Linked DNA regions of Nothobranchius furzeri. The protein of the gene in region 1 purifies or fractionates together with the protein of each later gene. This does not show direct contact. Links are inferred from orthologs where the notes say so. Each region holds a gene or a part of one and is shown in the gene's direction. Other genes may lie near its edges.

Region 1 (6,056 bases):
ACCATATGGTGCGGTGTCAGCAAGGAATTTCTCTGTTGCTTGAACTGTATCACTTTTGTGTTTGAGAAAATACACAAATATTGCACCGGAAAAGTCGTCAGTGAATGAAACAGCATACCTAAATCCCTCTTTTGTTTCTGGACTTATTGGCCCTGCCAGATCTGTATGCACGAGTTCCAAAACAGTCTTAGCTTTAGCATCCAGCTCTCTATTTCTTGTCTGACAAAATTTACCTTTTATACAGACTTCACAGTCTCTTTCTGTTCCAACAGTTTTATCCTTGATGTCCATCCCATCTACTACTCCCTGCAGTTTCTTAATGTCATCAAAATTGCAGTGTCCCATTATCTCATGCCATGTTTTCAGGTCATAAGAAGCATTACATTGGTCTGTTTGTTTTCTACTCACAGTTCGTAGATAGAATAGTCTGTTGTACTCCTTGATGGGGAATCTCGTTCCATCAGAATGTCTCAGTACATTATTACCTCGCTTGAAGATGACCGTTGCTCCATTGGTAGTAGCTGCCTTCACAGAGAAAATGTCTTGTGGATATGAAGGGATGTATAGTGCTCTCTTTAGCACCACCTTGTGTTGGACCCCTCTGCTGTCGATCAAGGTTACCACAGCCTCTCCTCTCCGTTCAGCCACTCCTCTGCTCCGGGTTCCGTCTGCCAGCTCGATGTAATGCGACCTCGGCTCGAAGTCCTCGTCGAACCTCCTGAACCTCTCTGGATCCGTGATAATGTGGGACGTTGCTCCTGTGTCCACCATCAGATTCCTGGTTCTGGTTTCGTCCATCTCGCCGTCAGCGTCTTGTAGTCGGAATGCGTATTCCTTTCCCTCGTAGTCATCAGCAGCTTTCCGTGCTTCATCATCTCTGTGTTTCTTTCTGCACACTTCAGTCTGGTGCGTGGTGGTCTTGCAATGCCTACACCACTTTTTGCGGTCACATACATTAGCTTTGTGTCCCTTTTTACCGCATTTAAAACAAATAAAGTCTTTACTATCAGCGCTCCGCTCGTGCATGCTTGGTTGAACATATTTCGGCTTCAGGTGCTTGACCCTCTCATTCATCCGTGCTGCCATCACATTGTCCTCTGTGGCAGTGTCCACACGCAGTTTTTCAGTTTCTTCATAACTTCTCAGTTTACTTTTAAATTCTGAAAAAGTCATGTCATCATCACTTTGTGTCACATGGATTCTAAAAGGCGTAAATGAGTCAGGTAGACCTTTTAAAACCATTGCTATTAGCAGTCCATCGCTCAAAGTTTCACCTGCGGTTCTCAGCGCTGTAATGGCGGCCTCGGCTCTCAAAACATAATCCGTTACACTCTCGCCGCTCTTCTGCTGTAATGCAGTCAGTTCTGTATATAAGCTTATTATGCGGGGTTTTCCCTTCCCGGCATAGTGTTCTCTCAAGATAATTAGAGCTTTCCGCCCGTCGTCAGCTGCGTCTCTCATCACCAGTGAAAGGCTCTTATCATCCAGGAATTGTATAAGTTCGGCATATGCCTCTGCGTTCTTTGAATCATATTCCTCATCATCGTCATCGTCTTTCGGTTTTAATATAATGTCTTTCAAACCTTGTAGCCGGAGGTGTCCGAGAAACTTTGTTTCCCACAGTTCATATTTATCCTCGTCTCCGTCAAATACCAGTCTTGACCAGCGGGTACTGGCTTCCACTGTCTTCCGACTCATAGTGTCCGACACACGTCGTAGCTCTCACTCGACTCACCGGACTTGCTGTTGGTCGGTTCTGTGCTCCTCACACGCTAGCAGGATGCTTTCCCAGCTGTCCTGATTAGCTTGGTGCGCAGCGGAAGCGTGCTGGGCCCATAACCTGTTAGCAGAGTTTCGTTTACCCAGCGGTTGGTCCAAGACTCCAAAATGAATCTCCAGGATTAAAAAAAGGAGGAAATAAATCCATAAACAGAGCGTCTGTTTCACGGGCCTTCACTGGTGGTAGCACACACTGATTGCGGCCACTAAAACACCAATGCTCCCTTTTATTGGTCAATTTACGAGGTCAAAGTTTAACTTCCTCTACAGGTACTTTTCAGTATAAAAGCATACATGTATATACACACACACACATTCTTATTTACAAATTTACACAGATGCATAACATAACAGAGCATAACAGAGCACATTAGACTGATGCTTAACAATTATTTCACAAAATTGATCCATTTGAGGCTTTTTTATTGGATGAAATCATAATGGAGGAAATGTATTGTCTGAGCTCTTGAAAACAAACAAACTTTTCAACATGGCATTTAGCTTACATTATTATAATATTAATGTGTTTTTTTAATCTCAATGTCATTTCTGAGGAACCCAAATAACACATTTCTCCATTATAACTTGAAGTCCGGATTAATGTTTATACAATTATTTACCCAAAACTGATTAACAAACAGACAATTAAAAAAAGAATGTACAAAGAAACAGCAGTCCGTTATGAAAGTTTTAACCGGATAAGGACATTTTCGACAGTGTTAGTGATTAACATTGTTTCGGTAAGAGAGACATTTTTCATTATAAAATTCACTTTTGGGATTTCTGCAGTTTTGCGTGATGACGTTTCCCCTCGTGTCGATTGAGACGTAGACTTGTATGACGTAGCACCAAGACGTGATTAGCAAGGGGCTAGTGTTGGTACGACGTCTGAAAACAGCCTGAATTGTGAAAAGGATCTATTTTACTCAATGTCTGAGTAAGTATATCAGTCAGCTGTTATATCTTGAGCAGTGCAGCTGACTGTAAACAGCTATTGGTGTGTGAAGTTGTCTCTAACGGAGGTCAGTCTGGTTAGCTTATAGCTAATGTCCAAAGGAAACCAACGACAGCGTAGCCGCTAGCTGGGCTAGCTAACGTTACATATTCAGAAATCGTGACAGTCAAACTGTGCTGCTGTACTTTGTAAACCATTAAGATATTTTTCTCTTTGACGCATGTTTACGTTATTAAAAATCAAGTTTTTACGATTTAGTTTAAAGTGTTATTATATGCGTGAAGATAACATTGAGAAACCTCGATGCTCAGCTAAGTTTTGTGCTCCTTGCTCTGAAATATGATGGAAACATGTTGATCTCAAAGCTGTTTCTTTTCATTTTTTGGAATCATTCATTTGTTAACCAGGACAGTAGATAAATATGTTTATTGTAAAATCACGTTGAAAAGTCAGCCTGAGGATGTGAATATGTATGAAAATGGCTACGCTCAATTTAAAGTTCAAATTCTTTATCCTCCAAAAAAACTGTCGGTATGGTAAATTTTTTTAGAAAGTACTTAATCTCAGATTTCAGCTAGTTAAACTCATTTGAGTACATTGTGTATACGTGATATGGGATTTAATGTTCTTGCATATGTGGTTTACAATCATCAGACTAAAAGTTTTTTTTTAAATGCAATAATTTTTTCCTTTTTATTCAGGCAGGGTCTGTGTCTTTTTAGGCAGGCAGAGCATTTCTGCCAGATGTGAGGAATCGAGGAGCTGAATGGAAATATTTGAGGCAGTTTGTGTTTGAGGTAAACAAGATGTTCTAACCAGAACTGTAAATTATTATTTTGACAAAATGTCAATCATTTTTTGATAGTAATTATTCATAGATAGTGTAAAAAACCCTTCTCATCTTAGTTTTAGCCAGGTTTGTTTCACAGTACTGGTATTTAGTAGCGTAGCAAGTGTATAAATGTAAATGTAAAAAAACAACCACACACACATATATACAAACAGTGAGCTAAAGAATTAGTTACTGTACTATATTACATTATCTTTCTGAGCACTCCTTTTCTATGGCCGTCTCCAAGTTTAGGTCCTTCACCACCACCCTTACCCATGGTGTCCCACAAGGTTCTCTGCTCTTCCTCCTCTATCTGCTTCCTCTTCAGCACATCCTGAGCTCCTTCAAAGGAATATCCTACCATCTTTATGCAGATGACATCCAACTGTACATCTCCTTTAAGCCCCATGAGATGTCTAAGCTGCAGCTGTTACACACCTGCTTAGACTCTATCAAAACCTGGATGGCTGGGAGCTTTCTTCAGCTGAATGAAGATAAGACTGAGATCCTCATCTGTGCCCCAGACAAGCTGGTTCCCAAAGTCAGAGACTCTCTTGGTCAGCTTGCTTCCCACACCAAACCTTCTGTCAGGAATCTTGGCGTGACCTTTGACCCAGCTCTCACCCTGGATTCTCATGTCATTTCTCTTGTTTGCTCTTCCTTCTTCCATCTCAGGAACGTTGCTAAGCTGAGTCCCATTCTGTCCCGCTCTGAACTTGAGACAGTTCTCCACTCCTTCATCTCCTCATGCTTAGACTACTGTAACTCTCTTTTCACGTGTCTGAGCAGAACCTCCCTGAACCGTCTACAGGTGGTTCGGAATGCCTGTGCTCGGCTTCTGACCAAGTCCTCCAAACACACCCACATCACTCCGCTTCTCCTCCAGCTTCACTGGCTGCCAGTCAACTTCAGGGTTCATTTCAAGATCCTGGTTCTGGTCTATAGGGCCTTACATGGACAAGCACCATCTTACATTGGTGATCTTCTTAGTCCCTACACCCCCAGCAGGTCCCTGAGGTCCGGTGATCAAAGCCTACTGGTTGTGCAGCACCAGACTAAAGACCAAAGGTGACAGATCATTTGCTGCTGTGGCCCCCAGACTCTGGAACTCTCTCCCCCTGAGCCTGAGATCAGTGGACTCAGTGGTCTCCTTTAAAAAGCAGCTGAAGACTCACCTGTTCAAGCTGGCTTTTGTATGACCTTCTTCACCTCTCTCTTTTTGTTCTGCTCTCCCCACCTATTCCACCTTCCTCAGGATCCACTGATTTCCCTCTTTCCTGTTCACTCTCTCTCTTTCTTAACATTTTTTAATTACAATTGCCCATTTTTTTTGCTCATTTAAAATATATTTTTAACCATTTTCTAAATTCTTTTTTATATTTTTTCATTTTTTGTTTTTGTGAAGCGCCTCGTGATTTTTATCTTGAGAAGCGCTATCGAAATGATATTTTCTTCCTCTTCATAATAAACAACATGATGAAACATGTCACCTTCTTGTGTTGAAATCTGTGTAAAATACTTTCGGTTTGGGGGGGGGGGGTGAGATTAAATAATTCAGCATCTCAGAAGCCCTTTTACAATACACACCGCCTTAATCTTATAAAAAGGACACGATTGCACCACATTACCGCCACAGTCTGACCACTTATGAACAACCTAAGGCTCCCTGATGCTGCCACGGCATTGCGGCAAATTAATGGCATTGTTTTGTAAAAATGGCTAGAGTGATAATAGAAACATTTGCTCATCAGGTTGCAGTACAAGCATTGCCAAGTATCTCCATTTCTGCTTTCTGAAAGGCATCTGGGTCATCCATTACAATACGATTTGGGACAATCACATTCCTCCTTTACATTATTTTGTTGACAAAGAAATTTTTAATTACATTAAAACAGCTAATATACCTACTATGTGTAGGTGGTTTATATTTAATCTTTTTTAAATTGTGTTGTTCAGGAGGTTGTAGGTTGTGTACCATGGGGTACGACGTTACGAGGTTCCAGGGTGAGGTAGATGAAGACCTGCTGTGTCCAATATGTAGTGGAGTGCTTGAAGAACCAGTCCAGGTAAGTCAACCACATGTATAAATAATAAAATCTGCTCGTGTTCAGATCGTTATATAGTTTGGTCCCAAGTATGAAATCTGTTCTACCAAAGTTTGTTGTTGCACATCCTAATTATACTTTTTTTTTTGGGTTTGTTTTAATTTTAGGCTCCACATTGTGAACATGCATTCTGTAACGCCTGTATAACACAGTGGTTTGCCCAGCAGCAGATTTGTCCTGTTGACCGCACAGTGGTCACTCTTGCTCACCTCCGGCCTGTGCCCCGTATCATGCGCAACATGCTGTCCAAACTTCAAATCAGCTGTGACAATGCAAGCTTTGGCTGTACGGCTACACTGAGACTGGACCAGCTGCAGTCCCACCTCAAGGACTGTGAGCACAACCCCAAAAGGCCCGTCAACTGCGAGGCGGGGTGTGGGTAGGT
Region 2 (6,001 bases), about 2.5 Mb from region 1:
ATTTATCTGTACCCTAAAAGCTTCAACTTTGTATTATTTTTTATTTATACTGTTTGAAATTTTATATTATGGCTATATGTCAGTTTCTGTTTACAAGAGTGGTTAAGTATAAAAACATCTAATGAAACTGCCTGCTGGTGAATTTATGTTTTTTAATCAGACAGCTGGCATTCATGATGAAGTTTAGTCTAAATAACAGACTTTCAGCTCCTAATGGGGTTCATCAAAGCTTAGATCATCATTAAATCAACACAGTAGCCCATCTAAAGACTTTCAGTCCTTTAGTTCTGTTCTGTACTGCACAAGCTTATGGGAGAAAGCACAATCAGCAGTTTGGGTCTGATGTTTATGCTACTATAGCCTTCAGGGAAGGAGAGCAAGGTGAAACATTTTTTTCAAGACACAACAGGCCACACGAGGACAACAATTTCCCCCTCCGGTTCTCACGGGGAACAAAACATGAAGAGCAGAGATTTGTAACACTTTTGGTATTCTTACAGAGATTTAGTTAAATTTAACAGTTATAATAAAACTTGTGGTAACTAAATTGTAAGAGCTCATAACAGTTTGGGGCAGCAGAAGCTCTGGAGGTAGCAGGACTGATCCCACCTCCCACCAGTGTACTCTGCTGTTGTGACACATCATCACCCAACCTGCCTGTGTTTGTGGTGGTCAGAGGGTCCGGTGGGTCCGATCGCTCCACGGTGGCTGTGGTACAGCTTACCATCACTGGAAGTGTGTGAATGTGTGTATGAATAATGGAAAATGCTTTGAGTGCTGAAGTGCGCTAAGTAAGTAAGTAAAAGTTTATTTATAGAGCGCCTTTCACAGATATAAATCACAAAGCGCTGTACAACATGATAAAGATCAGGGCAAATACCTCTAACCAATAAAAACATCCAAAAAACAATAGCAGTGATAAAGTAGAAAATAAAATCATGAGAATAAACAAAGTGAAGGTGAACCCGAACAAAGCCATCTTTTTGAAACATTTAGGGAGGGAACGCCTGGATGAAAAGGTGAGTTTTTAGATGATTTTTAAAGATCTCTACAGTGTTAGAGAGACGGAGATTTGAAGGTAGACTGTTCCAAAGTCTGGGGGCAATAGACTGAAAGGCCCTGTCCCCTTTGGTTTTTAGTCTGGTCCGAGGAACAGCCAGGAGGTTTTCAGATGTGGATCGGAGGTTCCGAGAGGTGGTGTGTGGGGATAAAAGCTCAGATAGGTAGGAGCCTGGTTGTTAAGAGCTCTATAGGTCAGGACTAAAACTTTAAACTGTATTCTATATTCTACCGGGAGCCAGTGGAGGGACTGTAAAACTTGAGTGATGTGAGCTCGTCTGCTGGATTTGGTTAGGAGTCTGGCTGCTGCATTTTGGATGGCTTGAAGGCGTGAGAGGGAGGTTTTGCTGAGACCAGTAAAAAGAGCGTTACAAATAAATAAATCTAATCCATTATTATTTTTACAATTAATTCTAATAGAAGGCCTGATGTAGGCAGGCAGAAAAAAGCAGCACTGCTGATGTGTCTATCTCAGCTTTATAACCACCTCCACATGCTGCAGCGACTGACTTCCAATTACTGGACTCTGGGTAACTTGCAAAGACAGCAACTTTATGTTGTTTTTTTTTTTTTTTTGGAAGAGGAAAGTAGAACAGACAGTATCACACTTCATTACCCAGACGGAACGTCAAAGTGAGGCTCGTCAGAGTATTCCTCACCCATAATTAGTGAAATATGCTCACTGTGTGCAGATTAGCTGGTTGGGTGCTTCTTTCTGGATTTAAATTGAGAAATTTGTCAAGAGTGGGGTGAAATAAGGTCTCAAGGTGCCATCGGCTTGTTTACTCACTTCCGTCCTGATTTTGAAGCTTTAGAGCAGGATCCTAAAATTGTGTTTAACAGCCAATTGCAGAATCCAATCATCTGTTTGATCGAGGGCTTTGAGCAGGTTTAGGGTTCGCATTGCAAGAATTGGTCAGTTCTCATTAGCCTGTTGGTCAATGGTAATGATTAAGTGATCAAAAACTGAATTATCAGGAGGAAATGTGTGTATTCTGGCTAACAAAGCTATATTCTGATTGAAAGTGGCTTCAGTAGATAGACGCCAACCTGAAGACAACAAAAGCAACAGAGAAGCTGTGAAATGGGGTACATTCTGTCCCATGTCAGTTGTTTGATCTCAATGCAATCAGGCTAAATGTTGATGCTCTAAACTGCTGAGCTTGATGCGTTCTGGAAGCCTAGTGCATGAAAAATATATCTGAAGTGTACATTTAGCAGAACGATGCAATACTACATTTCTGGGACTGGGACGCATCCAAAACAACAGGCATTGTGGCTGGTGGAAAATGGTCCAATACGCTTTAAGGGTGTTAGGGTAAAGCCCGAGTCATGCTTCTCCGTCAGCTCCAAAAGGGAGAGACACGCACGCACGGATGGAGACGTTTTGCCCTCATACTTCGCCATCTCCTGGGGAGTGTTGCAAAGCAATTCCCTGCCAGGACAACAGAGGGCATATCGCTGTTCTGTGGTATCCTGTCATGTGTTGGTCCAAGATAGTGTGTTTATATTGTGTTTTTTTTAATATAAGAGGCTTTTTAACATGGACAAATTTGTCTCTCATTCTCCTCCACCTCTTCATGGGCTCGCCACCTCTAAACCCACGTTTCCTGTCATTTCCGTCCACAAATTAAACGCCTGCTGCGTATCTTTTCACTCCTCCAGTCATGGGGGAATTAAACGCTCATATTTTTAATGTTTTTTCGCGAGGTATTCTTCAATCTTCTCGGTGTCTGCCGCTAGTTATCCTCGGCTCTCTTTATATTTTTGAGGGCGCAATGGCGCGGTGGTGTAAACGACAGCGGTGCCCTGACCAATCACAAGCTTGCATTCTCCATCTCGACTGACCGATCTCTCCAGCAAGCCTGCAAGGACGGATTAATGGTGTTGCGTGTCTCCACACTGATGCAGACGCATGACTCAGGCTTTAGACGACATTAATGCATTCTTTGGAAAGGTTTGCCAGCCCGATCTCTGTTTATCCACACTGAGGCCCTTCAAAGAGCCATCTACAACAGCTGAAACACTCATTGTCTACATTTTCATACACTTCAACAGATCTGATCTGTTGCCTCCAAAACCATCTTGTTTACAGGCACTTTTATTTGAATGGCTAATCTAATAATGAGGAGAGAAAACGAGCTTGTTTACTTCGCAGTGGTGGCGATAGAGAGCTCCAGTTTCGTCCATCCCATTATTATCTGGGGGAGGGAGGAGGAGAGAGACAGTGATCACACTGCTTCCCTGTTCTCACCCACCAACTCTCGGAGCAGGAACCGGTTCTCTTCACTGGCAAAGAATCTCTAAAGGGGAGGAGGGGAAGACAACAAAGTGGTGTCGTTTCTAAACGTGTTTATCTTTGGATGATCATTTGCGTTTTTGCAGATTCTGGATCCTGCCCTTTCCGACTCCTCCTGTCGTGCTGCAGCTCTGTGAGGAGTGAATCTCCTTTGTGTTGCTCTGCAGTTGTTTTATTTCTCTTCAACTTCTGCCTCCTGTTTCAGCGAACAGAGAGGGTTTGTTTCCGCCTCTCTGTCGCTCTAAACGGAATGAATGACAAAAACAAAGGAGGTTGATGTCCATAACTCTGCGACTCACTTCTTCGCCTCGCCCAAACAACGGAGACTCCATCTCCGGCAGAAGATGGAAAGCGGAGGCGGGACGGAGAGCTCGGACAGCGGCCAGGCGCAGCACGCGGTGCCCGGTCAGCCGCCCCGGTCCGAGGCTCCCGGGCTTCCCGCTCCGAAGACTGGCGAGAAGAAAAAGAGTAACCGTGCGCCATCCCCGGCTAGACCGAAGGACGTGCCCGGCTGGTCGTTTACAAAGATCCGCGGAGGGATTGGGACCCCGACCCTGAGCGTCAAGCCCGGAGCCATCCATCTGGGTAGCCGCGTTTCCAGACGCAGCCCGGTGGGGAGCCTCGCTGGGATGGAAGGAAAAGCGGAGAAATGTGGTGGTAAAACGGGAGGCAAGTCATCTCTCTCCGGCGGAAGCGTGTCCAAGTCCCCGGCATCCAAGACGGCTAAAAGCACCAGCGCGCGGAGAAAGGTGTCGGACGCCAGCACTGGATCCGATGATTTATCCAAGGACTCCGGATGCGCCGCCGGGAAGCTCTCCCCGACCGACAGCAGCTCCGAGTTGTCGGACTGCGCCTCCGAGGAGAACAAGCTGTCGGCGGATGCTGGGAGCAGCGACGCCGAGTCCAGGAGCAGCCGCGGCCCGGACGGAGAGAAGCCGCTCGGGGACAGAGCTGCTTCACAAGCCGCTACCAAGACCACCTGCTCCGCCGCAGAGAGACACGATAAGAACCGACCTAATCCGGGCATCGACACCGCTGAGGGGAGCACTTCACCCGGCGAGGAGCGCTCGGTGACCTCGTTTGACAGCAGGGTGCCCGCCAGCACATCCCTGGCGTTCTCAGACCTCACGGAGGAGTTTACGGACGGCATGTATGAGGAGTACCTCAGGGAGATAGAGGAGCTCAGGTCTGAGAATGATTACCTCAAAGTAAGTCTTTCATTTGGTATCACCTGTGAGGAACCGCAGCTGTTTATTATTGGTGCCAGCTCAGTGGCGTCTGCGTCAAAACGCGATGTCAGCACAAAGACCTGTTTCTGTCTTTGACCTGTGCTCCAAACAACTGAAGAAAAATATAATTCATTTTTCTCGTAAGATTCGATATTTCATCCATTTGTCTTTATTTTTTCCCACATTTTTCAATAATTTATCACTGCAACATATTTGTATTTTGTCATGTTATGGTTATGTTATGGTTCATCCAATTAACACATTGGAATTCCCCAATTTGCAACTGAAATAAGTAAAAATAAGCAAATTATAAACAAAGCCCAATAGACAAAACTATTACTGATTATAAAAGTTAGAGAACCTCTGATATTTTGCTGTTAATAGAACATCAAGCATAAAGAGCTAAAAAATATGTGGACTTATCACATCCAATATCCAATTAATGCATTTCTGTTAAAGTTCAAGGTATTTTTCCCCCCTTTTCAAATTTTTAGAGCTAATTCAGACTAGCAAACACACTCCTAGCCTCAGAAAAACAAAGAAAACAGCTTGTTATATTTTCAATTGAGAAAATCTTTACATTTCATTCTTTCTCTTCAACGCAGTGGGACCATCATCAGTTTCTGACATAGAAAGTGTTTCATGTCCCTCAGTTTGGCAGCAAGGGGTGAAATGAAATCTAGATGAATCCATTGGTCAAGCTTACAGTCAGACGGATTGATTAAGGAAGGACTCAATAAGGAGCATGTCCTGAAGCACTTGCTGTCATTGGCCAGACAAGCCAGTAATTGTCACAGATTGATTAGGAGAGAGACTGATGAGCTGTGAACAGAATATTGTGATTGTTCCTCCTCATCATTTGGTTTTTAAGCTGCAATTTCTCTAATGTGTGTTTCTTCATTCTTGTCCGACCTATTAAACGAAAGGAATAAAAATGACAAAGTATTTCCTCTTGCCACCTATAGAGGGGTGAAGACTGAATATAGGACCTCACTTAGAGCTACCTTTTGGAGCACAGGATGTGCAGTCAAGTGATGTTGCAGCTGTGGGAACACCTGGTCCTGTAATCATAATCTAAACAACATACTGAGGTGTCAGAGTACCTCTAAGTCCTTGGGCAATATTTAGTCTGATTTTCTTTTCATTTGACCCATTTTTCCCACAATTCTTTAGTGTTGAGCCCCTTGTGTCTCTCTGTTTTATTGTTTAGCATATTCAGTTTGTGCAGCTTCTGTTTCATTCTTCTATAGGTTGAAATCTCACCCCGACTTTGCCTTTCGTTGTGTTTTAAATTCATCTTTAAAATTTTTGCAGGTCAAAAATATTGTATGCTTTCTATTCAGTCAAACTTCCAGCTTTCTTTTTTAACCCTCCCACTGTCTTTATGGGTGACCCCGCGAGGAAAGTTGACCAT

The links. Proteins that work in one complex are often made in the same cells at the same time.
Region 2: the proteins of rnf41 (region 1) and mtcl2 purify together in Homo sapiens (affinity purification with mass spectrometry; 3 studies listed by BioGRID and IntAct, with this or other methods). This does not show direct contact. The link is inferred for Nothobranchius furzeri from reciprocal best matches to the Homo sapiens genes RNF41 and MTCL2.

The regions. Positions count from the first base shown.
Region 1 is NC_091755.1:37,148,862-37,154,917, reverse strand, and holds the start of rnf41 (E3 ubiquitin-protein ligase NRDP1), read left to right. Parts: upstream 1-2,591; 5' UTR 2,592-2,716; intron 2,717-3,435; 5' UTR 3,436-3,531; intron 3,532-5,522; 5' UTR 5,523-5,542; coding exon 5,543-5,632; intron 5,633-5,778; coding exon 5,779-6,050; intron 6,051-6,056. Other genes in the region: uncharacterized protein, read right to left, coding at 409-1,698. UniProt on the Homo sapiens protein: Acts as E3 ubiquitin-protein ligase and regulates the degradation of target proteins. Polyubiquitinates MYD88. Negatively regulates MYD88-dependent production of pro-inflammatory cytokines.
Region 2 is NC_091755.1:34,603,628-34,609,628, forward strand, and holds the start of mtcl2 (microtubule cross-linking factor 2), read left to right. Parts: upstream 1-2,286; 5' UTR 2,287-3,612; coding exon 3,613-4,566; intron 4,567-6,001. UniProt on the Homo sapiens protein: Microtubule-associated factor that enables integration of the centrosomal and Golgi-associated microtubules on the Golgi membrane, supporting directional migration. Preferentially acts on the perinuclear microtubules accumulated around the Golgi.